Linked DNA regions of Anolis sagrei. The protein of the gene in region 2 interacts with the protein of the main gene of each other region in a biochemical or structural test. Links are inferred from orthologs where the notes say so. Each region holds a gene or a part of one and is shown on either strand. Other genes may lie near its edges.

The links.
Region 1: the proteins of RBBP8 (region 2) and SIAH2 form a complex in vitro, tested with the Homo sapiens proteins (2 studies listed by BioGRID). The link is inferred for Anolis sagrei from reciprocal best matches to the Homo sapiens genes RBBP8 and SIAH2.
Region 3: the proteins of RBBP8 (region 2) and KLHL15 form a complex in vitro, tested with the Homo sapiens proteins (2 studies listed by BioGRID, with this or other methods). The link is inferred for Anolis sagrei from reciprocal best matches to the Homo sapiens genes RBBP8 and KLHL15.

What each region holds. Positions count from the first base shown.
Region 1 is NC_090023.1:241,454,987-241,462,744, forward strand, and holds the start of SIAH2 (E3 ubiquitin-protein ligase SIAH2), read right to left. Parts: upstream 3,017-7,758; 5' UTR 2,545-3,016; coding exon 2,038-2,544; intron 1-2,037. UniProt on the Homo sapiens protein: E3 ubiquitin-protein ligase that mediates ubiquitination and subsequent proteasomal degradation of target proteins.
Region 2 is NC_090024.1:59,992,810-60,000,528, forward strand, and holds the start of RBBP8 (DNA endonuclease RBBP8), read right to left. Parts: upstream 3,016-7,719; 5' UTR 2,683-3,015; intron 1,740-2,682; 5' UTR 1,652-1,739; intron 1-1,651. UniProt on the Homo sapiens protein: Endonuclease that cooperates with the MRE11-RAD50-NBN (MRN) complex in DNA-end resection, the first step of double-strand break (DSB) repair through the homologous recombination (HR) pathway.
Region 3 is NC_090023.1:86,712,754-86,720,027, reverse strand, and holds the start of KLHL15 (kelch-like protein 15), read right to left. Parts: upstream 3,017-7,274; 5' UTR 2,598-3,016; intron 1-2,597. UniProt on the Homo sapiens protein: Substrate-specific adapter for CUL3 E3 ubiquitin-protein ligase complex.

The sequences.
Region 1 (7,758 bases), on a different chromosome or scaffold from region 2:
ACAGCGCTCCTTGGTGATAAAGCTTGAGAGGAGACATTTTTTCCCAATGATAATAAGTCAACCAGGAGTGATTTGCCTTTCCTAGGGGTAGATTTCGATCACTTCCTACTGTTTCACCCCCATTCTTAATGGTGAGTTGGATGTTTGCAACTCAGGGACCATCTATATCTTTCTTGAATTGTGATGAAACAGCATCGCAGGTGAGGAAGTTCATAGAGTGGGGTGGGGATGACTTCTTAGATCTAGAGACCTGATAGATCAGGCCTGGGCCAACTTGGGCCCTTCAGGTGCTTTGGACTCCAACTCCCACTATTTCTAACAGCCTCTGACCCTTTTCTTTCCCCCCTCAGTCACTTAAGTGGTGCCTGAGGCTGTTAGGAATGGTGGGAGTTGGAGTCCAAAACACATGGAGGGCTAAAGTTTGCCCATGTCTCTTCTAGAGGGAACTCTTCTCTAGGCATTTAGACATCCTCCAGTGTGATTCTGTGGTTGTACAGGAGTTGGGCTGGAGGACCCAGAGAAATCTTCTGTCAGAAAAAAATGCATTTTAAAAAATGTGTTGTTTCTCCACTTTTGTGGGGGTCCTGTGCTGGAGGGCCCAAGTTCACCCATAAGTGGCTGAGGGGGAAAAGGAAGGGAGCTGAGGCTGTTAGGAAAGGTGGGAATTGGAGTCCAAAATACTTGGAGGGCCCAAGTTTGCCCATAATCTGCTGAGGGGAAAAAAGAAGGGGCCTGAGGCTGTTGGGAATGGTGGGAGTTGGAGTCCAAAACCCCTGGAGGGCCCAAGTTTGCCCAAGCCTGGGGTAGATGCACTCTATGCCTTACTGAATTCAGTGGGACTTGCAATTGGCCCTCTGCATCCACAGGTTGAACCTTCTGTGGATTGAGATCATATTTGTATCCAACAGACAATGATTGGAAAACAGCAATCACCTCTATCAACCAATGATTCAGTCAGGTAAGTTATAATGAGTCTATGGCAGGCCTAGGCTATGGGTGCTGTGTGGAAGTCCAAAACACCAGGAGGGCCCAAGTTTGCCCATGCCTGCAATATAGGGACACAGTCACTCTATTTGCCTGGCTCTTCCTTTCAAAGGATGACACAAGAAGAGCAGTACTGATCCTCGCTTAAGCGGCTGAGGGGGAAAAGGAAGGGGTCTGAGGCTGTTAGGAATGGTGGAAGTTGGAGTCCAAAACACCTGGAGGGCCCAAGTTGGCCCATAAGTGGCTGAGGGGGAGAAGGAAGGAGCCTGAGGCTGTTAGGAAAGGTGGGTATTGGAGTCCAAAACACCTGGACAGCCCAAGTTTTCCCATAAGCAGCTGAGAGGGGAAAGGAAGAGGCATGAGGCTGTTAGGAATGGTGGGAGTTGGAGTCCAAAACACCTGGAAGGTCCAAGTTTTCCATAAGCAGCTGAGAGGGGAAAGGAAGGGGCCTAAGGCTGTTAGGAACGGTGGGTATTGGAGTCCAAAACACCTGGAGGGCCCAAGTTGGCCCATAAGCGGCTGAGGGGGAGAAGGAAGGGGGCTGAGGCTGTAAGGAACGGTGGGTATTGGAGTCCAAAACACCTGGAGGTCCCAAGTTGGCCCATAAGCAGCTGAGGGGGAGAAGGAAGGGGCCTGAGGCTGTTGGGAATGGTGGGAGTTGGTGTCCAAAACACCTGGAGGGCCCAAGTTTTCCCATAAGTGGCTAGGGGAGGAGAAGGAATGGGGCTGAGGCTGTTAGGAATGGTGAGAGTTAGAGTCCAAAACACCTGGATGGCCCATTATTATTATTATTATTATTAGGAAGGGGCCTGAGGCTGTTAGGAAAGGTGGGTATTGGAGTCCAAAACACCTGGAGGGCCCAAGTTTGCCCATAAGCGGCTGAGGGGGAGAAGGAAGGGGCCTGAGGCTGTCGGGAATGGTGGGAGTTGGAGTCCAAAACACCTGGAGGGCCCAAGTTGGCCCAGGTCTGCTATAGGCGCAGCTTTGGGCTCCTGCTGAGCCTGAAAGTGCCCGAAGTGGTCAGAGCGCCTCCTCCCTCCCTCTCTGGCTTACCTTGCAGGGGAAGAGGACGGCCGAGGCCACCTTCTCCATGGCCAGGTTGCGGATGCTGGGGGTGAGCGACCCCCGGCACGTGGGGCAGCAGCTCAGCTTCTGCCGGCATTGGTTGCAGACCAGGTGCCCGGCCTGGCACTGCAGGATGGGCGGCAGCACGTAGTCGAAGCAGACGGGGCACTCGAAGAGCGAGGTCAGCTCGTGGTGCTGCGGGGACGAGGACGAGGAGGACGACGACACCGGGCCCCCTCCGCCGCCTTCCCCGCTGCCGCCGCCTCCCCCTCCTCCTGCTCCGGGGCTGGAGAGCCCGGCAGCGGTGCTGGGCAGGGCGGAGGAGCCGCCTCCGGCCGCAGAGATGGCGGCAGCGTTGTTGGTAGCGGGAGGCGCCGCAGCCGCTGCTGGAGACGGAGCCGGAGCGTGTGGTGGCGGCGGCGGCTGCTGCTGGGGCTGCTGCTGCTTGCCGCAGGTTTTGCTAGCGCTGGGTCCGGCGGAGGACGGGCGGCTCATCTCGGCCGGAGCCAACCATCGAAGGGCGCGAGGCAAGCAAGGGAAGGGAAGGGGACGCAACCCGAGGCGCGCGCTCCGGGGGGAGGGAGGGGAAAGCGAGCCAGATGTTGCCAAAACAACCCGTCAAATGGGAAGCTCCCAAAGAGGACGCAGCAGCCCCGTGCCGAGCAGAGCCCGCCGTCCAGCCCGAGCGCAGGGTCCTTCCCACTGCGCGTGGCTCCTTCTGGGCTTCTCTCCCCACCCCGGAACCTGGATCTGACGTCAGTGAAGGAGGGAAAGAGGGGGCGGCGTCGAAGCCACCCACCCAGCGCGCCCCAGACTGCGCCCGCGATCCTTGCCTGTCTCCAGGCGCAACCACAAGCACGCAGCGGCCACCTTCCCTGTCGCAAGAACCGCCTGCTTTGCCGCCGGGAAGGAAACGAGGAGGGAAGAGGCGAGCGATCTTCTAGAAGTCGGGTGGCGCAGCGGAGTCCCAATAATACGGCTTCCTTGAGCGCCACCTGCTGGCCAGTTGCCTCCCTGCCTGCTTGCCTGCAGCCCAGAGGCTTCCCAAACAGCTGTACTGTTGGGATGTTGTAGGTCAGCGCTTCCTAATAGTACAGTGATTCTCAACCTGAGGTCTCCACAGGGGCGGCTTGTCCATTACGCAAAGTAAGCGGTCGCAGAACACTTTTTTTTTTTGCCAGGGGCGCAGAGGCACCTCTGTAAATGCCCCTCCACCACCACTTGAGGAGCGCCCCCTCAGCTCACAACAGCCCTAGCAGTCCGGGGGGAGCCTCGGCTTTCTTGCCTCGCTGCCGGGCGATCCTCTTCTCAAAGGGGCCGGGCCCTTGAGCCTCGCCTCTCTCGTTCCTTCTCCACCTGGCCACCGGGTGTGCGAGCAGAACCGGCGCTCAATCGTTCTCCGTGTTCGATCCCTTCCCCATGACCGGCTCCCTTTCCCGATCCCCTGGCGCTCCACCCACCTCCTCTCCTCTCCCCAATCCGCGGGTAGGCCAAGGGGCTGAGCCGCCGCGCCTGGCTCGCTTCGGGTCCGGAGGCGTGTCTGAGACCCCAGTGTGCGCACCAAAAGTCGCCTCTTCTCCTGACTTTCTCTTCAGCCATTGGGACCAAGAGAGAGAGAGAGAGAGAGAGAGACCCTCCGGCTGGAGGTATCTCCCACCTCTGCTCCCTCCTTTGTTTTTGCGCCTACCTTCAGGAAAGGTGGGCATCTCCACCTCTGTCTCTCTCTCTCTCTTGGTCCCAATGGCTGAGGAGAAAGTCAGGAGAAGAGGTGACTTTTGGTGCACACGCCGGGGCATGCCTCCAGACCCAAAGCGGGCCAGGCAAGGGAGCAAGTGCAGCAAATGTAGTTACTAGGATGTATAGTTCACCTACAATCAAAGAGTATTCTGAACTCCACCAATGATGGAATTAAACCAAATATGGCACACAGAACTCCCACGACAAACAGAAAATATATATCAATGATTGGTTGGGGGGGGGGGGGAAATACTGTTTGCTTACCGTTGAAAATTACTTAGGGCCGCCTCTGGGTCCCCAGATGTTTTTGGTCTTCAACTCCCAGAAATCCTAACAGCTGGTAAACTGGCTGGGATTTCTGGGAGTTGTAGGCCAAAAACATCTGGGGACCCACAGGTTGAAAACCACTGTAATAGTATGATAGCTGGGTCTGGAAGCTCCAAGCATTACGGAGATGCCGCATCACTCCTTTGGGAGCGCTGTTTGGACAAGAGAGACTTAGCTAATGTAAGCCAGGTTGGAGACAAATAATATAGAAGGAATGTAAGAGTTCTTTGATGGTGAAACCCTAACCCGTTGTGTGTAGGTTTTTCGGGCTATATGGCCATGTAAAGAAGCATTTTCTTCTGACGTTTCACCTGCATCTATGGCACGCATTCTCAGAGGTTGTGATGTCTGTTTGAAACTAGGCCTGATCCTTAGTTTTTCCAAATTTCGTGTGTCTTGGAACAGTTTCTCCTCCTAGAGATGTTCAATGTATTGTCGAAGGCTTTCATGATTGGAATCACTGGTTGTTGTAGATTTTCCAGGCTGTATGGCCATGTTCTAGAAGCATTCTCTCCTGATGTTTCACCCACATTTATGGCAGGCATCCTCAGAGGTTGTGAGGTTTGTTGGAAACTAGGCCTGCTCCTTAGTTTTTCCAAATTTTGTGTGTCTTGGAACAGTTTCTCCCCTTAGAGATGTTCAATGTATTGTCGAAGGCTTTCATGGCTGGAATCACTGGGTTGTTGTAGTCTTTTCAGGCTATATAGGCATGTAATAGAAGCATTCTCTCCTGACATTTTGCCTGTATCTATGACAGGCATCCTCAGAGGTTGTGGGGTCTGTTGGAAACTAGGCCTGCTCCTTAGTTTTTCTTCTAGAACATGGCCATATAGCCTGAAAAACCTACAACAGCCCAACAGATGACTATCCGAACTCTGTTTACACAGTATTCCCAAGTCTCAATTCCCAATTGATGCTTAGGTACAACTCTTTGCCAGTATAGCTAAGAATGATGGGACTTGCAACCTAGTTGTGTTAGTGGTGAAACTGGAAAATCGCAGAGTTTGAGAAGACCGCAAGGCCAGTCAGTCCAACTCTATTATGCAGAAATAAACAATAGTGGCCTTTCAGCCTCTATTTACAAAGTTCCAGAGAAGGAGACCTCTCCACTTTCCAAGGCAGCATATTCCATGACTGAACAGCTCTTACCATCAAGAGATTCTTTCTAATGTTTAGGTGGAATCTCTTCTTATAGTTGGACTCCACTACTTTGCACTGTAATTTCTAGTGCAGCAGAAAACACTGTAGAATTAATGCACGTTAACTGCCATGGATCAATGCTACAGAGTCCTGGGAGTTGTGGTTTGAGAGTGCACTCTTGGGCAGAGAAAGCTAAAGACCTTCTAAAACTACAACTACCATAGTTCCATAGCATTGAGCCATGGCAAAGTGTTGTCAAAATGCATTATATCTTCGGTGTAAATGCACCCTTGGGTATGAAGCACCAGTTGCCAATCTTGCTTAAACTTCTCTGTTGTATCATCCATAATGAGAATTGTCAGTTTGTGCATTTCCTCTAGGTTGTACATCTTCAGCAGCCAATCCTCTATTATTTTAGTGCGCAAATTTAAGTTCAATGTGAAAGGATTTCCAGTTGTTTCAGTAGCATCTTGAATACACACTGTTAAATCAATTTAGTTTGCAACAATTACCAGTAAAACTATTTAGTTTCTTGTCATGAAACTGTTACCTGCAAATTCAGGGACACCAAAATATTTCTGATGGTTATTTGACAAATGATACAATACTTACACAAGATGTTGTTGATGTTCTTTCCTCCAACAGGAAGTAAACAGAATGAGAGCAAAACCAATCCAGGGACAGCAATGGTTCTGATTTATTGCAGAGATACTTTTTTGTGACAGCTGGGTCAGTTCTGGGAAAAGATATTTGTTTGGACTGTAGCTCCAAGTGACCCTGTTGGCTGGGAGCATTGTGAGCTGAAGTTTCAAAAAGTGCTTGAAACTTTGGCCAATTCAAACCTGACCATTGTGTTTACAGATCTGGAAGGCAAAAGCATTCAGTTGAATGAACAGCATTAATCTGAGTGTCCCAACACTTGACTTGGCTGAGGTTATATCTCTTTTCTGATTTTCCCATTTTCCTGTGCATTTAACCATTCTTACTGAAGAAGTGAGTCATGTTAGCAGTGGTTTAAGTGGATGTGAAATAATTGTTCTGGATCCACTCAGAAATAGGTTGCTGGCTTTTAGATTGAGCTTCCACAAAGAATAGAATGTAGATCAGGACAAACTTTGGCTCTCCAGGTGTTTTGGACTTCAGCTCCTACAATTCCTAACAGCCTCAGACCTCTTCCTTTCCCCCCTCAGCCATTTAAATGAAAAGGACCTGAGGCTGTTTGGAATTGTGGGAGTTGAAGTCCAAAACACATGGAGGGCTGAAGTTTGCCCATGCCTGATGTAAATGGTATTTTGTGACTAGGTAACAGATGGAAAGACAACCAATGAGGTGTAGTAGCTTGAGCATTGGACTACAACATTGGTAAACCAGGGTTGAAATCTGTGCTCAGTGGAAACTCACTGGGTGATTTTGGTCAAGTCACACATGCATCCAGAGAAGGAAAAAGGCAAACTCCCTCTGAACAAACCTTGCCAAGAAAAATCCATGATAGGTTCACCATAAGTCAGAAATACATTTCAGGCACACAATAACAGCAGATTGGGTATCCTGTCTCTAACTCAGGTATAGATTTATTTTGGCGTGGGAGTCAAGAGGCCCTCTAGATGTTGTTGGACTGTAAAACATAGTATTTGTCTCCATTGACACTATTGGTTTGAACTCTTCTGATGAGCTGACTGTAATGACTGTAATAAAGTGAACTTGAACTTGAACTCTTGGAAATTACAGTTCAAAATCATCTCAAGTGCTGTACAATTCCCATTCTGATCTACCTTTGTGCCTTTACTACAGAAGACACTAGATAATCTCCTCCCAATGTGGCCACTTAACACCCCACAGAAAAAGAGAGAACATAGATTTGCACAGCATTCTGAGATGTATGTACAGACATAAATTTAAAAGCAATAATTGTTATTATTTAAAAAGCAACAAAAATGAGGTCTCTGTGAACCTTAATCACTAATGCAATTCATCTGGTGTATGGTTTCATGGACTTCAAACTCATTCTCATAGGTGAGGAATGTGGCCTTGGATGCAAAGAAAGCTGCAAAGGTCATGCATGTTTGGGTGGGGAGATAATAATTAGGGAGATAAAAGAACTCAAAATACAAACAATGTCAAAAGTAGCTTAACAATGATAATTAACAAATAGTAGCAAACCGGTTACACAGATATTTCCGTATTGAAAAGGTCATAACTATATGTGCTATTTTTTTAAAAGTTTGCCCACATGTAGGATATAATGGTGAATATCTTGAGGAATCTTCTAGAACATGTTGAGAGAGAATTATGTATTTCCAAATAGCAGCACATATTGGGGATAATGGATCATGACCTGTTAGGATCACAGACCATCAGGGGAGCAGAGCTTATTTGGTTATGAATGATCACTGGGCATGTAGATATTTTGTTTCTGTTTGGTGCTTTCAGCAGACAATGATGCAAGCAGACTTCTTTTAAAGATAACAAGGTTTGTTTACTGATAACTTCATGTATTTAAAGATA
Region 2 (7,719 bases):
CTGGGTTTTAAATGTGACAGATGCTCCACCATAGAATCTCCTCCTCCTCCTCTATAGGATCTCACTGCCTGGTTGGAATTCTATTCTAACTTACCTTAAAGTAAGCCATGGTTGAACACATTGGGCCTTACTCCTGAGTTGACATACATAGGTCATGCTGTGGACTCTAGATAATAGACTGCAGTATAATGAAAATTTAAAGCATGTCACCATAAAAAGTTAGTTGAACATGGCATATGACATACTTTCCATTGAAGTGGGCAAGTGTGCAAGCAGCCCCCACATTTTGTATTTGTGGGTCCTGGGTATAAAAAAAATTGACTTATCCCCCACCACTAAATTGCTCTTTAGGGGGATATAGAGGGTTTTTTTCACAAACCTTTGGAAATTTGTGGATCTCTCACAAATTTGCAAATAATTTCAATTTTTAAAAAATCTCAACATGACTAAAATGCTTTCTAGGGTTCGGAAAGACTCCAAAACATACCCCTGTGTCCTCTACAGGACTTTACAGGCAAAATTGGTGTTTCCATGAGATCAGGTATAACAGGGGCCTGTCTCTCCAAGGTCTCTTGGCGGGCTAATGTGGCCTCTATGACTTCAACAGTTGCCTACTCCTGCTTTACATATGAAATGATTTGCCAGCACTATGGAACAGTGCAAAAGCAGAATAATCTTGGCATAGGATTATTCCTTTTGTTTGTGAGCAGTCCTGTACTTGGGTTTTCATTCACCTTTTTCCCCAGCCAGAAATATAAGAAATACTTAAGTTCTAATGAACCATGTAAAGTAAAGGAAGAAGGGGGTGTCAAACTGATTAGAGTGTAGAGCCAGCCTAACCTTGTTGGCTAACTTTGTAGGTAGTCCAAACCTCCCCCTCTCTCTCTCTATATATATATCTAAATATAAAACAATATAATAAGCTATATAGTAGTTTTGATAAGAGATGCAGTACTGTTATAAATCTTTCCTCATAAGCAGGTACTGTACCACTAAATTCAATGTGTCTTACTTCCAACTAAGCATATCTAGATTAGGCATGGGCAAACGTTGGCTCTCCAGGTGTTTTGGATTTCAATTCCCACAATTCCTAACAATCAGTAGGCTGTTAGGAATTGTGGGAGTTGAAGCCCAAAACACATGGAGGGCCAAAGTTTGCCCATGCCTGATATAGATGCTATTTAGCTGAAGATGGCTATAAGATGTGATCTAATTTATCCTTAACTTGGAATCTTACTGCAATATTATTCATCTTTCTTGCAATATTATTCAGTTAAGATTCACAACAGCTCTGGTGAATATAGTAGGACTTCTATATCAACAGACATAGAAGAGCTGTTAAAATTTAAAATTAAGGAATACATTAACAACATCAGAAAATTTAGTTTTTGGAATGGTGAAGATATATTATCCCATTTATTAAAAAATATGTGGCTTTCCCTTGTACACTGCAATATGCTGCTTAGTGCTATATCAGATGACAGACATTTGCATCCTCCCAAGGAATAATAAAAACAACTCTTCATCAGCATGGATAGCCACATATCAAGCTGACATTTCCTCTCTGGGATTATCCTGAGGTCTAACAGGCTATTTAGATCTATTAAACAGCTTTGAACCATATATTATTAACAGCCAGTATTTTACTTACCTCATAATTTTTTTATTTATTTTGTTTGAAATCCACTAGTTTTCATGAGAAGAGACCACACAGTACAGGATTTATCCCCCTTTTCCTGCTTTAAAGAGGAGATAGGAAGAGTCACTTTTAGTTCAAACAAAAGTTATTTTGTACAAACAGGCATGACAAAACCTGTCTTCATTCCTTTCTGTTCAACTCAGCCCAGTATAATTCTTAGCTTCAGAGCACAATCCTATACATGTCTACTCAGAAGTAAATCCCAATGAGTTAAGTGGAACTTGCTCCCAGGAAACTGGTTAATCAGTTACCAGATTTTATAGACTTTGTTTTCAAAGTTGTCATAATTCTGATTTGAACTTGGAAAATCACAAATGCATAGACCTCAATTTTAACTCATTCTTCTGGGGCTACAGATGAGGAACCTATTTTATTTTGGATATGATAGCAGTATAATCTCTATATAATAAAGGGACTCGTTTTTCTCCATGCAACTTATAACATGTGCCAGGCATCAATGTGTGGCAGGATATGTGAATTGAATCCATTGTATTTGTTAATGTGTTATGAGTTCATCTTATAAGAAAAGCATCATTTTGACAATCATATATTAAGCATTTTTCTTTATTATGTTGCCATAGTGAAACCAATATATTTACCACACATTTCACATATAGAAGCTAATATTACTATCTTGTATTCATTTACCTTGGCATTAAGTAATTTGAACTTACATGTAGGGATTGCACTATATACCAAGGAAAATTAAAGGTCTTACCAAATGTTTAGGATAACATTCTGGCTACCTATCCTTGCATGTCTCATGACTTGCTTCATGCTTTGACCTGCATTCCCACTAACGTGATGAACAGCCCCATAAGAGAACCACTAAATGATATTAGCAGGAGTCATATACATGATACAACATAATATTAATACCCAACTAAAGCATGCAGCAGTATATCTAAAATTCTTGGCACAACGTCTGAAGTTAAGGTCTTAAAATTGACTATTCAGCATTAAGGGAGACGTTATATACTTACCTTTTTGTTTTGATTGTAAATGTTCAGTCTGACTCTGCTCTTGAGCAGCAGTGGTGGGTTATTTAATGTTTTCTTCCCCTGATCATACCAGCTGGGAAAGGTAAGGCTATAAAATCACCCGTGGACCACACTAGAGAATGCTGAGAGGAGTTTTGCTGCAGCTCGGATATACACAATGTGCAATGGATAACCTAATATGTCTTTCATTTAACTGGCTGGGCAGGTTTCTGAATTCTCTGGAACATGGAATCATACCAGAATTTGTTGGCATAACAGGCCCGTCAAACTGGTTCTTGGGTAGAGCAAGAACCCGTCCAACCAGTCTGCATCAAAGGGCAGCTCAACATGCTGCGGCTCAACTCAGCTCTGAAGCTTCATAAGTGGCGAATTATTCACGCCTCCACCAACTCCCAACAGAGAATGTTGTAGCCTCCAGCAAAACAATTTACCAAAGGGTTGGGGAGTGCTGTATCCCTAACCATATCAAACACAGCAACATCCTATTGTTGCAAAGCTTTTTTATTACATTTCTAGATGGAGCGGTTGATAGATAAGCATTGCATTGGTCATCCAAAGAAAAGAAACAAATGCAAAGAAACCAATAAGAAAAGGATACTTCAATTAAACAGCATTTCCATTTCTTACAAACAGTACTCAAACTGGGATCCAAGCCTGAAGTATTTTTAGATGTTGGTAGCAAAAGCTCCAGTAACCAATAGAAATAGAAATATTATGTTACACATACGATTAAAGTGCGGGCAACACAAAAACGTTGCTCTTTTTGGAGCAATGTTTGATAGTATTTAGTTTGCTATACAGAGTTAATGCAGGAGTGGCAGGTCAGAAGAGATGTGTGTTGATACATGTAAAACTAAGTTGCAAAACACGTTGAAGCATTGCAATGTGCTAACAGAAAGATAGCCCTAATTTCCAACAGACTGTATCCTATTAAGGTTTTACAAGCATCCATTGTTTGTAGCATTCCAGAAGGCCCTTGTAACTTTAATTTTAAGTAGAGATCCAATTCCTAATGAAATTCAGTTTTCTCATTTACCGTTAAGATCAGGATTTGGTTGCTGTGAGTTTTTCGGGCTGTAGGGCCATGTTCTAGAAGCATTCTTTCCTGGTGTTTTGCCCACATCTATGCCAGGCATCTTCAGAGGTGATGAGGTCTGAGGATGCCTTCCATACATATGGATGAAACGTCACGAAAAAATGCTTCTGGAACATGGCCATTGGCCATACAGTCCAGAAAACTCACAGCAACCCAGTGATTCTGGCCATGAAAGCCTTTGACAACACAAAGATCAGAATTGTTTGGTGGGGACACAATATCCAATGACCCCAGTGATTTTTACTTGTCTTTAACGGGATGATCAACTTGGTGGAAATGCTACTTTCAGTCATTGCCATTCAGAAAGCATCCCAAGCTCCGTCTTGAAAACATTTATTATACTGATCACAGCAATGAACAATAAGGAGCAAGAGTAGTACAGAGAAAACAGGGAAGAGAAGGGAAGTGAAGGAAAACTGAGATAGTGGAAGAGAAGGCAAAATGTACAGGGAAGGACAAAACAACAGGTGAGGGAAGGACAAGGATATAACCGTCTGCCCCAAACCAATTTCTCATAGGTTCTAAGGGCCCTTTCACACAGCCATATAACCCAGAATATCGAGGCAGAAAACCCCACAATATCTGCTTTGAATTGGATTATCCGAGTCTACACTGCCATATATTCCTTTAAAAGCAGATAACGCTGGATTTTATTCCACTGTGTGGAAGGCGCCTAACATTATTTAGCTGTATTGGAAAATGATCTCTTTCTTGTTATAAGATTTCAACAGAAGGGCATTCATATTTTCTTTTGAAGGGAAACAAAAAGCAGCAAGATTTTACCAATATTCCATCTTTGAATGATACTTTTAAAACATATTTTATTTTTCATATTCTATGAGAGATTACATGATCCTTATCTCCAGAATTGGATTTCTCCTGTGAGATGGAAGAACAAATTACCTACCATGCACAGTGCTTGCTGGATTATCATGTTAATTTCCCTTTGAAGCTTATATCACCAGATAAAAATGCCCATCAATGTAAAAGACCTGCCTGGACAGCTGCAGCTACATCTATACTATAGAATTAAGACAGCTTGACACCACTTTTACTGCCATGGCTCAATGCCATAAAATTGTGGGATTTATAGTTTGGTGAAGCACTGTTTGGCAAAGAAGACTACAACTCCTATGACTCCATAGCATTGAGCCATGGCAGTGAAAGTGGTGTCAGGCTACATTAATTTTACAGTGTAGATGCAGCTTCACAGTATTACAATAAAGATCTTCAAATGTACCAGATATCATGGACTGGTTTTTTTCATTCAGATACACTTGGGAAAAAAGTGACAAAAGGTATTGGCTCACATATCTAGCTCTAACATGAAAATTTTAATTATACTTTCCAAATGATTAGTTGTTGGAACATACTAAATTACCGGTTCAGCTAACTTTGGATCATGCTGTCATCATTTCATCAACCTTAGCAGAATTTTTTCCAGGTGTGGAAGGAAAAAAGTCTAATTAAATCATTTGTGTTGAAATGCAAATATTAACATAGCATACAGTCAAGGTTGTAGGTTGCAAATGATTTAGAGAATGGAAACAAACCCAAAAGAAGCTACAGAGAGTAGAACAGTTCTAATGGTACAACAGATGTGCAGCGTTTACATTACAGCCATACGACCTCAGGCTATTGTTTTCAGAATTGAGCTCGGTCAGTAGACCTGAACAGAAGAGTTTCAGTTATATGTGGTGTAGGAAATGGTTTTGATGATGTAGACAGGCTTACAATGAGTAGGATTAAAGTCATACTGCATATCATGAAGAAGAGTACTGATTGCTGGAGGTGTTCTTTATAATTAAATATAGTGTTCAAGGACCAGGCTATATATTAATAAGTTTGATTATCAAAAATAGTTTTGAAAGGGGGCAATTTAGAAAAAAAGTATATGCCAACGTTTCTCAAAGTGGGGACCCCGGGGGGGGGGTCATGAGGGGGTTTCCGGGGGGGGGGGTCACCAAAGACCATCAAAAAACACATATTTCTGATGGTCTTACGAACCCCTTTGACAAAGAAGGCTGAAGATCTCTCCACCTGTCCTTCTCTTCCTTTTTGGAAACAGATAGAAAATGCTCTCACCAAAAGCCCTCCTCCTCCTGTGATTGGCCGGACTCTCAGCTGGCCTCTCAGCCAAGGGAAGGTCTGTTTCTGAGACTCCAAGTGGGGAGAGGAGAGCAGGTATGCTCTCCCCTAAATCACTGTCAATTCCTCCCAAATCCCTCCAGTATTTTCTGGTCATGGGAGTTCTGTGTGCCAAGTTTGGTTCAATTTCATCATTGGTGGAGTTAAGAATGCTTTTTATTGTAGGTGAACTATAAATTCCAGCAACTACAACTCCCAAATGACAAAATCAATGCCCCTTAAACCTCACCAGTATTCAAATTTGGGTATATCGGGTATTTGTGCCAAATTTGGTCCAGTGAATGAAAATACATCCTACATATCAGATATTTACGTTACGATTCATAAGAGTAGCAAAATTACAGTCATGAAGTAGCAACGAAAATAATTTTATGGTTGGGGGTCACCTTAACATGAGGAATTGTATTAAGGGGTTATGGCATTAGGAAGGTTGAGAACCACTGGTATATACAGGACATGTTAAGGTGAAGTAGATGCATCATTAACCCTCTCCTTCTTATAATTTTGCTACTCAAACTTTCCTCTCTCCAAAGAAATTTTCTCCTGGATTCCAGATGTGTTTTCTAGCATAAATTTGTCTCTGGCAAAAGTTCACTCCGAAAGTTGCTGCTTGATTCTTTCATTCTCTCACTTTTTTCATTTTATGCTATAACAAAGTAACACGACTATTTTTTAAAGGAACTACTGGTAGGTGAAGAAAAATCAAAGTTCATATTGCTACCTTTTTAATGTAAATTTGCCCTTTCCCATACTGCTTTTCTGTTCACAACTACAATGGTGACCAGGGTTTTAGAACACGTTTGCATGCTCTTGACCTTTAAATAATGTATTTTTATTCCCAAAGAAAGGCAATGAAAATGAGTACAATATAGGTAGTGATAACCATCAAAAACAGGATTTTAAACACACATGCTTGCAAGCTCCTAACCCTTAAATAATGCCTTTCTTATGGAATAAAAAATACAGTGAAAATGATTGCAACATAGGTAGTGTTAATCATAAAAACATTTAGAGACAATTTACTCTGTCTTGCCTATTTCATTAACCTGTTTGTTAGTAAGATTTTGATGATATTGTGTTATGGTGTTACTCACTGGTTGATAGTGGAGAAGTTCTGATCAAACCATTTCCTATAATCCCTGTTGTTGACAGGTTTTCCTTAATTATTTCACTACACGCGAAATCCATGAATTCATTTTTGTGCTTAGCACGTTGTGCTTAGCGAGCACTTCATTTTATAGAGCAACACAGCAATGTGTCTTAAGGTGAAAGAGTTTGAATTTCACAATCTTTCTTAAAGAAGCAGCAGCTGACACAGGTGCTGACTTGCTCCTTTGGTAAATGTATGCACAAACATTCAAGGTTTTATTATAAAAATGCACAATACAATATTGAAATATGTCCAGAAGCTTTATGAACAAATCTGTGGAGTCTCAGGGTGGATCTAGACAGCTCTTTTACTGCGGGAGTTACCGCAATAAAAAAGGGGCTGTCCAGGTGACGTCCTGGACAAACTTGCATTAATCTCCCACAAACCAGGAAAACCCTGGTTTGTGGTAAATTGATTTGATAGTGGGTTTATTCCACACTTTCTTGGAAGACACAGGACAAACCCACTACTTCTGGTGTCTGGACAGCAGAATACTGTCCAGACAGTATTCCCACAGTTTTCCAGGCTAAATTAGCCTGGAAAATTGTGGGAATACCAACCCCTCCTCAAAAGCCCTCTAAAGAGAGAAAAGAACTCACCCAGCCTCCATGGGACAGCTGCTGGA
Region 3 (7,274 bases), on a different chromosome or scaffold from region 2:
CATAGGCCTTTCTTGGCAACACTTGCCTTCCTTTAAGGCGGAGAGAGAACAACTTGGCCATATTCCGCCAGTGGGTTTCCATGGCTAAACAGGGATTCAAACTCCAGTCTCCCAGTAGTATAGTCCAACACTCAAACCATTACACCATGCTGGCTCTTCAATGCAGTATAAAGTATCTTTAATATAAGTACCGTATGGTGGTTCTCAATCCAGATGTTTTCACCTTTAGCTACCAGAGGTCCCAGCCAGCATGGATAATTATAAGGGTTGAAGGGTGCTAAAGTACAAAAACTGACTGGCCAATTGAGTGTGCTATATTCTGGAGGCATCACTATAGTGCTCATATCACTATAGTGCCCATCTGGACTGGCACTGGAATATGACCTGGAATATGTTATTTAAATTGTTGTTTAATGTTATGTTTTAAATGGTTGGTTTTAATGTTTTGTTTATTCACTGATGTATGTATACATGCAGCATTGAATTGTTGCCTTTGGAAGGCTGCCTTGAGTCCCCTCCGGGGTTGAGAAAGGAGGGATACAAGTGTGGTAAATAATAATAATACATAATTTTTCCCGGCCTCTTTATCAAGTGTGGAATTAGAAAGGGGAAGATAGCATCATCACTATACCCTCAAAGACATTAAGAACACCAGAGAGGGAAAAATACCTGCCAGTCAGAGATTTTACAAAATATTAAGTAGGAGTAGCAGAAACTGCCCCACACACAAAAAATGCATTAGGATTGCATTACTACCCTTCAATTCTGTAACAGTGCTGTCCTCTCAGACACCTCAATCAAACTGTCCCTCTTTCCCCAAAATATAGGGGATGAATGTGAGAAGAGTAAACTGACTCAGTATGAATATCCATTTTAGGGATTGTAACTGTAGAATGTAATTATAACTGCAAGCTGCCCTGTGTCCCTCTTCGGGCGTGAGAAGGATGGGATATAAATGCTCGAAATAAATAAATAAAATGGATACAGTCTGACACCACGTGAGCTGCTATGGCTGAATGCTATGGAATGATGGGAGCTGCAGTTTTACACGGTTCTTTGGCTTTCTCTGCTCTAGGGTGATGATGCCTCGACAAACTATAAAGGTAAAGGGTTCCCCTTGATGTTAAGTTCAGTCGTATCCGACTCTGGGGGGTGATGCTCATCTCCATTTCTAAGTCAAAGAGCCTGTGTTGTCCGTAGACCCCTCCAAGGTCATGTGGCCGGCATGACAGCATGGAGTGGCGTGACCTTCCCACCGAAGCGGTACCAATTGATCTCACATTTGCATGTTTTCAAACTGCTAGGTTGGCAGAAGCTGGGCCTAACAGCGGGAGATGGCCTTGCTCCCCAGATTTGAACTGCCAACCTTTCAGTCAGCAAGTTCAGCAGCTCAGCACTTTAACAACAAACTATTGGGTATTTCAAAAAGATGGACCTAACCTCCCATGAATAAACCTCTCACTACTTGAAATAACAAACAGCCCCTGGACTCAATTTGCAAGGTGGCAACCCCACAACATAAGGCCTAGTGAGATATTTTCCATTCGCAAACGTGTGCAGTTGGAACATGTTGCCATGACAAAAGTATACTGCTTTGAAATTGGGTCCGTCCTTTTGAAACACCCTGCACAACTCCCAGGATGCCACAGCATTCCTAGTGGTCTCAAGTGCGTGAATTCTACATCCTTTCAGAAAGGAGAAGGTGTTTTATAAGGGACTAGCTGTTGAACTGGAAAATAAAGTAATGAGAAACTGTTGGTTTCTAATATATGTAATTCCTTTATGCTTGTAGGTAAACAGTATTTCTTGCTGTTTCTTTGTTAATGTCTGGTTTTCCCACCCTGGAACACGCAACGTATCATTGTCCTTCTTTAAGGGTCCCTTTCAAATCTATGATACTATATCTCTCTGTGTGTGAATCATATCTATCTATCTATCTCTATGGCTGGATGGCTCTTTATCAGGAGGACTTTGATTACGTTTTCTTGTCCTGATGAAGAGAGTTGGATTGGATGGCCTTAAGTATTTTCTGATGGTCATGGGGGTTCTGTGTGGGAAGTTTGCCCCGATTCTGTCGTTCGTGGGGTTCAGAATGTTCTTTGATTGTAGGTGAACTGTGAATCCCAGTGACTACAACTCCCAAATGTCAAGGTCGATTTGCCCCAAACTCCATCTCTATTCATATTTGGGCGTATTTAGTGCTTGTGCCAAGTTTGGTCCAGATCCATCATTGTTGGAACTACAACTCCCAAACTCAAGGTCAATGCCAACCAAACCCTTCCAATATTTTCTGTTGGTCATGGGAGTTCTGTGTGCCAAGTTTGGTTCAGTTTCATCGTTGATGGAGTTCAGAATGCTCTTTGATTGTAGGTGAACTATAAATCCCAGCAACTACAACTCTCAAATGACAAAAATCATACATCCTTGTGTTGTGAGACGTTTTGTTATCAAATTTGGTGCGATTTCGTTCTTTTGTTTTTAAGGTACTCATTATGCACAGAGCATTTATATATAGAAGATAGAAGATGGGACCGGGGTAAGCTCTACCTGAGGGGCCTCGGCCACGACCAAAGGAGGGGGCGAAGAGCTGCACCTACCTCTCAGCATCGCCGGAGACGCTGGCCGTGAGGAGAGGGGCCTCTCTGGGGAACATCAAGGCGGGCGAGGGAGAAGAGGCGGGAGCCTGGCGGAAAGGCAGCCTCTCGGCCCAGGCCCGCTCCTCCCTGCCTCAGCCTCCCTTCCCTCTCCGTTGTTTACCTCCTTCGCTGCCTAGCACAGCCGCCACCGCCGCCATCTTCCCCCAACGGCAAGCATCCCACACTGACCGTCACTTCCGCCGTCGCCGCCACCTGTGGGCAAGGCCGGAGGAGGAGGAGGAGGAGCCTCCATGAACACGGCGGGCGGCTGCTGCTGCTCCGACTTCTGAGGAGAACCCCACCGACCACCACGACGCCTCGCGCAGGGCAGCCACCCCATTCGCTGGCGCGGCCGTTGCCTCGTAAAAGCCGCCGGCCCGCCTCCCTCACGCCGCCCAATCCGCGCCCGCGTCAAAGAACCCCCTCCCTTCCCGCGCCCTGCCCCCATTGGTCGCCCTGCCTGCCGCTCAGCGCGCGAACACTTCCTCCTCGGCCAATCCTCGGCGGGCTTCCCTCAGACACCCATTGTCATCACATTTCCCGCCCTACCTGCTTTATTTCTCCTCCTTGTGGGTCAGGTGGGAAATACTCCCAAATGACTGAGGGTGCGTCTACGACTGTGGAATTAATGCAGTTTAACAACACTTTAATGCAGTTTAACAACACCAGATGGTCAGCACCGAAATCAGATTGACTACATCCTTTGCAGCCAAAGGTGGCGGACATCCATCCAGTCGGTGAAAACAAGACCTGGGGCTGACTGTAGCTCAGATCACGAACTTCTTATTGCCCAATTTAGAATAAAACTAAAGAGATCAGGGAAAATACACAGACCAGTTAGATACGATCTCACTAACATTCCTAGCGAATATACAGTGGAAGTGAAGAACAGATTTGAAGGACTAGATTTAGTAAACAGAGTCCCAGAAGAACTATGGACAGAAGTCCGCAACATTGTTCAGGAGACGGCAACAAAGTACATTCCAAAGAAAGAGAAAACCAAGAAGGCAAAATGGTTGTCTGCTTAGACACTGGAAGTAGCCCAAGAAAGGAGGAAAGCAAAAGGAAACAGTGAAAAGGGGAGATATGCCCAGTTAAATGCGCAATTCCAGAGGTTAGCCAGAAGAGATAAGGAACTATTTTTAAATAAGCAATGCATGGAAGTGGAAGAAGACAACAGAATAGGAAGGACAAGAGACCTCTTCCAGAAAATTAGAAACATTGGAGGTAAATTTCAGGCAAAAATTGGTATGATAAGAAACAAAGATGGCAGGGACCTAACAGAAGCTGAAGAGATCAAGAGAAGGTGGCGAGACTATACAGGAGATCTGTATAGGAAGGATAACAATATCGAGGATAGCTTTGACGGTGTGGTGAATGAATTAGAACCAGACATCCTGAGGAGTGAGGTTGAATGGGCCTTAAGAAGCATTGCTAACAACAAGGCAGCAGGAGATGATGGGATCCCAGCTGAACTGTTTTAAATCTTAAAAGATGATGGTGTCAAGGTGATGCATGCCATTTGCCAGCAAATATGGAAAACACAAGAATGGCCATCAGACTGGAAAAAATCAACTTATATCCCCATACCAAAAAAGGGAAATGCGAAAGACTGCTCAAACTTCCGTACAGTGGCCCTTATTTCTCATGCCAGTAAGGTAATGCTCAAGATCCTGCAAGGAAGACTCCAGCAATACATGGAGCGAGAGTTGCCAGATGTTCAAGCTGGGTTTAGAAAAGGCAGAGGAACGAGAGACCAGATTGCCAATATCCGCTGGATAATGGAGAAAGGCAGGGAGTTTCAGAAAAACATCTACTTCTGCTTCATTGACTATTCTAAAGCCTTTGACTGTGTGGATCATAATAAATTGTGGCAAGTTCTTGGTGGGATGGGCATCCCAAGCCACCTTGTCTCTCTCCTGAGGAATCTGTACAAGGACCAAGTAGCAACAATCAGAACTGACCACGGAACAACAGACTGGTTCAAGATTGGGAAAGGCGTACGGCAAGGCTGCATACTCTCACCCAACCTTTTTAACTTGTATGCAGAACACATCATGCGATGTGCGGGGCTGGATGAATGCAAAGCTGGGGTGAAAATTGCTGGAAGAAACATTAACAACCTCAGATATGCAGATGACACCACTCTGATGGCCGAAAGCGAGGAGGAGCTGAGGAGCCTTCTAATCAAGGTGAAAGAAGAAAGCGCAAAAGCCGGGTTGCAGCTAAACGTCAAAAAAACCAAGATTATGGCAACAAGAATGATTGACAACTGGAAAATAGAGGGAGAAACCGTGGAGGCCGTGACAGACTTTGTATTTCTAGGTGCAAAGATTACTGCAGATGCAGACTGTGGCCAGGAAATCAGGAGACGCTTACTTCTTGGGAGGAGAGCAATGTCCAGTCTCGATAAAATAGTGAAGAGTAGAGACATCAGACTGGCAACAAAGATCCGCCTAGTCAAAGCCATGGTCTTCCCTGTAGTCACCTACGGATGTGAGAGCTGGACCTTAGGGAAGGCTGAGCGAAGGAAGATCGATGCTTTTGAGCTGTGGTGTTGGAGGAAAGTGCTGAGAGTGCCTTGGACTGCGAGAAGATCCAACCAGTCCATCCTCCAGGAAATAAAGCCCGACTGCTCACTGGAGGGAAAGATACTAGAGACAAAGTTGAAGTACTTTGGCCACATCATGAGGAGACAGGAAAGCCTAGAGAAGACAATTATGCTGGGGAAAGTGGAAGGCAAAAGGAAGAGGGGCCGACCAAGGGCAAGATGGATGGATGGCATCCTTGAAGTGACTGGACTGACCTTGAAGGAGCTGGGGGTGGTAACGGCCAACAGGGAGCTCTGGCGTGGGCTGGTCCATGAGGTCACGAAGAGTCGGAGACGACTGAACGAATGAACAACAACAACACTTTAACTAGGTTGCTGTGGGTTTTCCGGGCTGCATGGTCATGTTTATTTATTTTATTTATTTACTTTATTTGTATACCGCTTTTCTCAGCCCTCAGGCGACTCAAAGCGGTGAACAACATCGATACAAAATATCACAAAACAAGTATAGGGCAATTAAAAACAATTATCACATAAATCATTAACATCAGTATAACAATCATTAGCGCCTCAACAGTAAAATCAGAATCCAGTCTCATCATCCATTATTTCGTATTCCTATGTTCAATTACACTGTTTAATCAAATGCTTGTTCGAACAGCCAGGTCTTCACTTTCCTCCAAAACGCCAGCAGGGAAGGGGCCGATCTGATATCTGCAGGCAAGGCGTTCCACAGCCGAGGGGCCACCACTGAGAAGGCCCTGTCTCTCGTCCTCGCCAAGCACGCCTGTGATGCAGGTGGGACAGAGAGCAGGGCCTCCCCAGATGATCTTAGTGTCCTAGTCGGTTCATAGGAGGAGATGCGTTCGGAGAGGTAAGTAGGGCCAGAACCGTTTAGGGCTTTATAGGCTTTATATGTTCCAGAAGCATTATCTCCTGACGTTTCACCCACATCTATGACAGGCATCCTCAGAGGTTGTGAGGTCTGTTGGAAACTAGAAAAATGAGAATGCCCAGGGTGGGAGAAAGAAACTTGTCTGCTTGAGGCAAAAGTGAATGTTGCAATTGCCCACTTTGATTAGCCTTGTAGCTTGAAAGCCTGGCTGATTGCTGCCCGGGGAACCTTTGTTGGGAGGTATTAGGTGGTGGACAGGCCTGGACACAGCATGTTATTTGGGAACACAGAGATAATGCACCACTAGCAACCACCATGTCAGGCTATACAGAGAGGCCATTTAAATCCACAAGCATGTGGACAATTTCAACAGAAAGGAGAAAACAAAATCTAGCTACCAGTATTTAAAAAAATTTAAAATCAGAACAGTAAATAAAGAACAACACTCAAAAAACGTGAATTGCTGGCAAGTATCAATCAGGGCCAGCTAACACCTCCCAACAAAGGATCCCCCCTTCTGCCTCACTTTCTGGATGTTGAAACATTTGGCCTTTTGTGGAAACAAGGACTGATGGAAAAAACTTCAATAGAGAGACCTTTTTCCCAGTATAACTCTTCCAGGAGTGAACATCCCTGCTGAGGGATAGATTTTTCTCCCTGTTGTCTCAGCCCTGTTCTTAACTATGAGTCTCTTGTAAGTCAGATGCTTCTAACTGTGTGTTTTTTAACCTCATTGATCCTTAGTCACCTTTTAAACCAATTAAGTCAATGGTGCAGTAAAAGCTCACATTTATTTAATTTATGTTATTTGTTTAAATTCCTCCAAAGAGATCTGAGCAACTTAAATATGGCATCCAGGCAGCTTAGACAGAGACATTTGCTTAGCATGTTCCCTCTCTCTTTCTCTCTCGCTTTTGAAATTGTTCTCTATTCAAAAAGATATTATTTTATGTCTTAAGATATTTGTTCCCAATTAAGTGTATTTAGGATTGTGACCTTCTTAAAAAAAAAACCTCTATACCAAAATACATAGTTGTAAAGATGTAGTCATCAATAATGCTATACTTATGATCTAAGGTTTATTTATGCAATTATGAAAAAATACTATACTAACATCAAAATTGTCTAGAATGTCATAAAAAGAATCACTGATAAAAAATGGAGTGTTGTCAGTGAGAACCTTAAAATATTT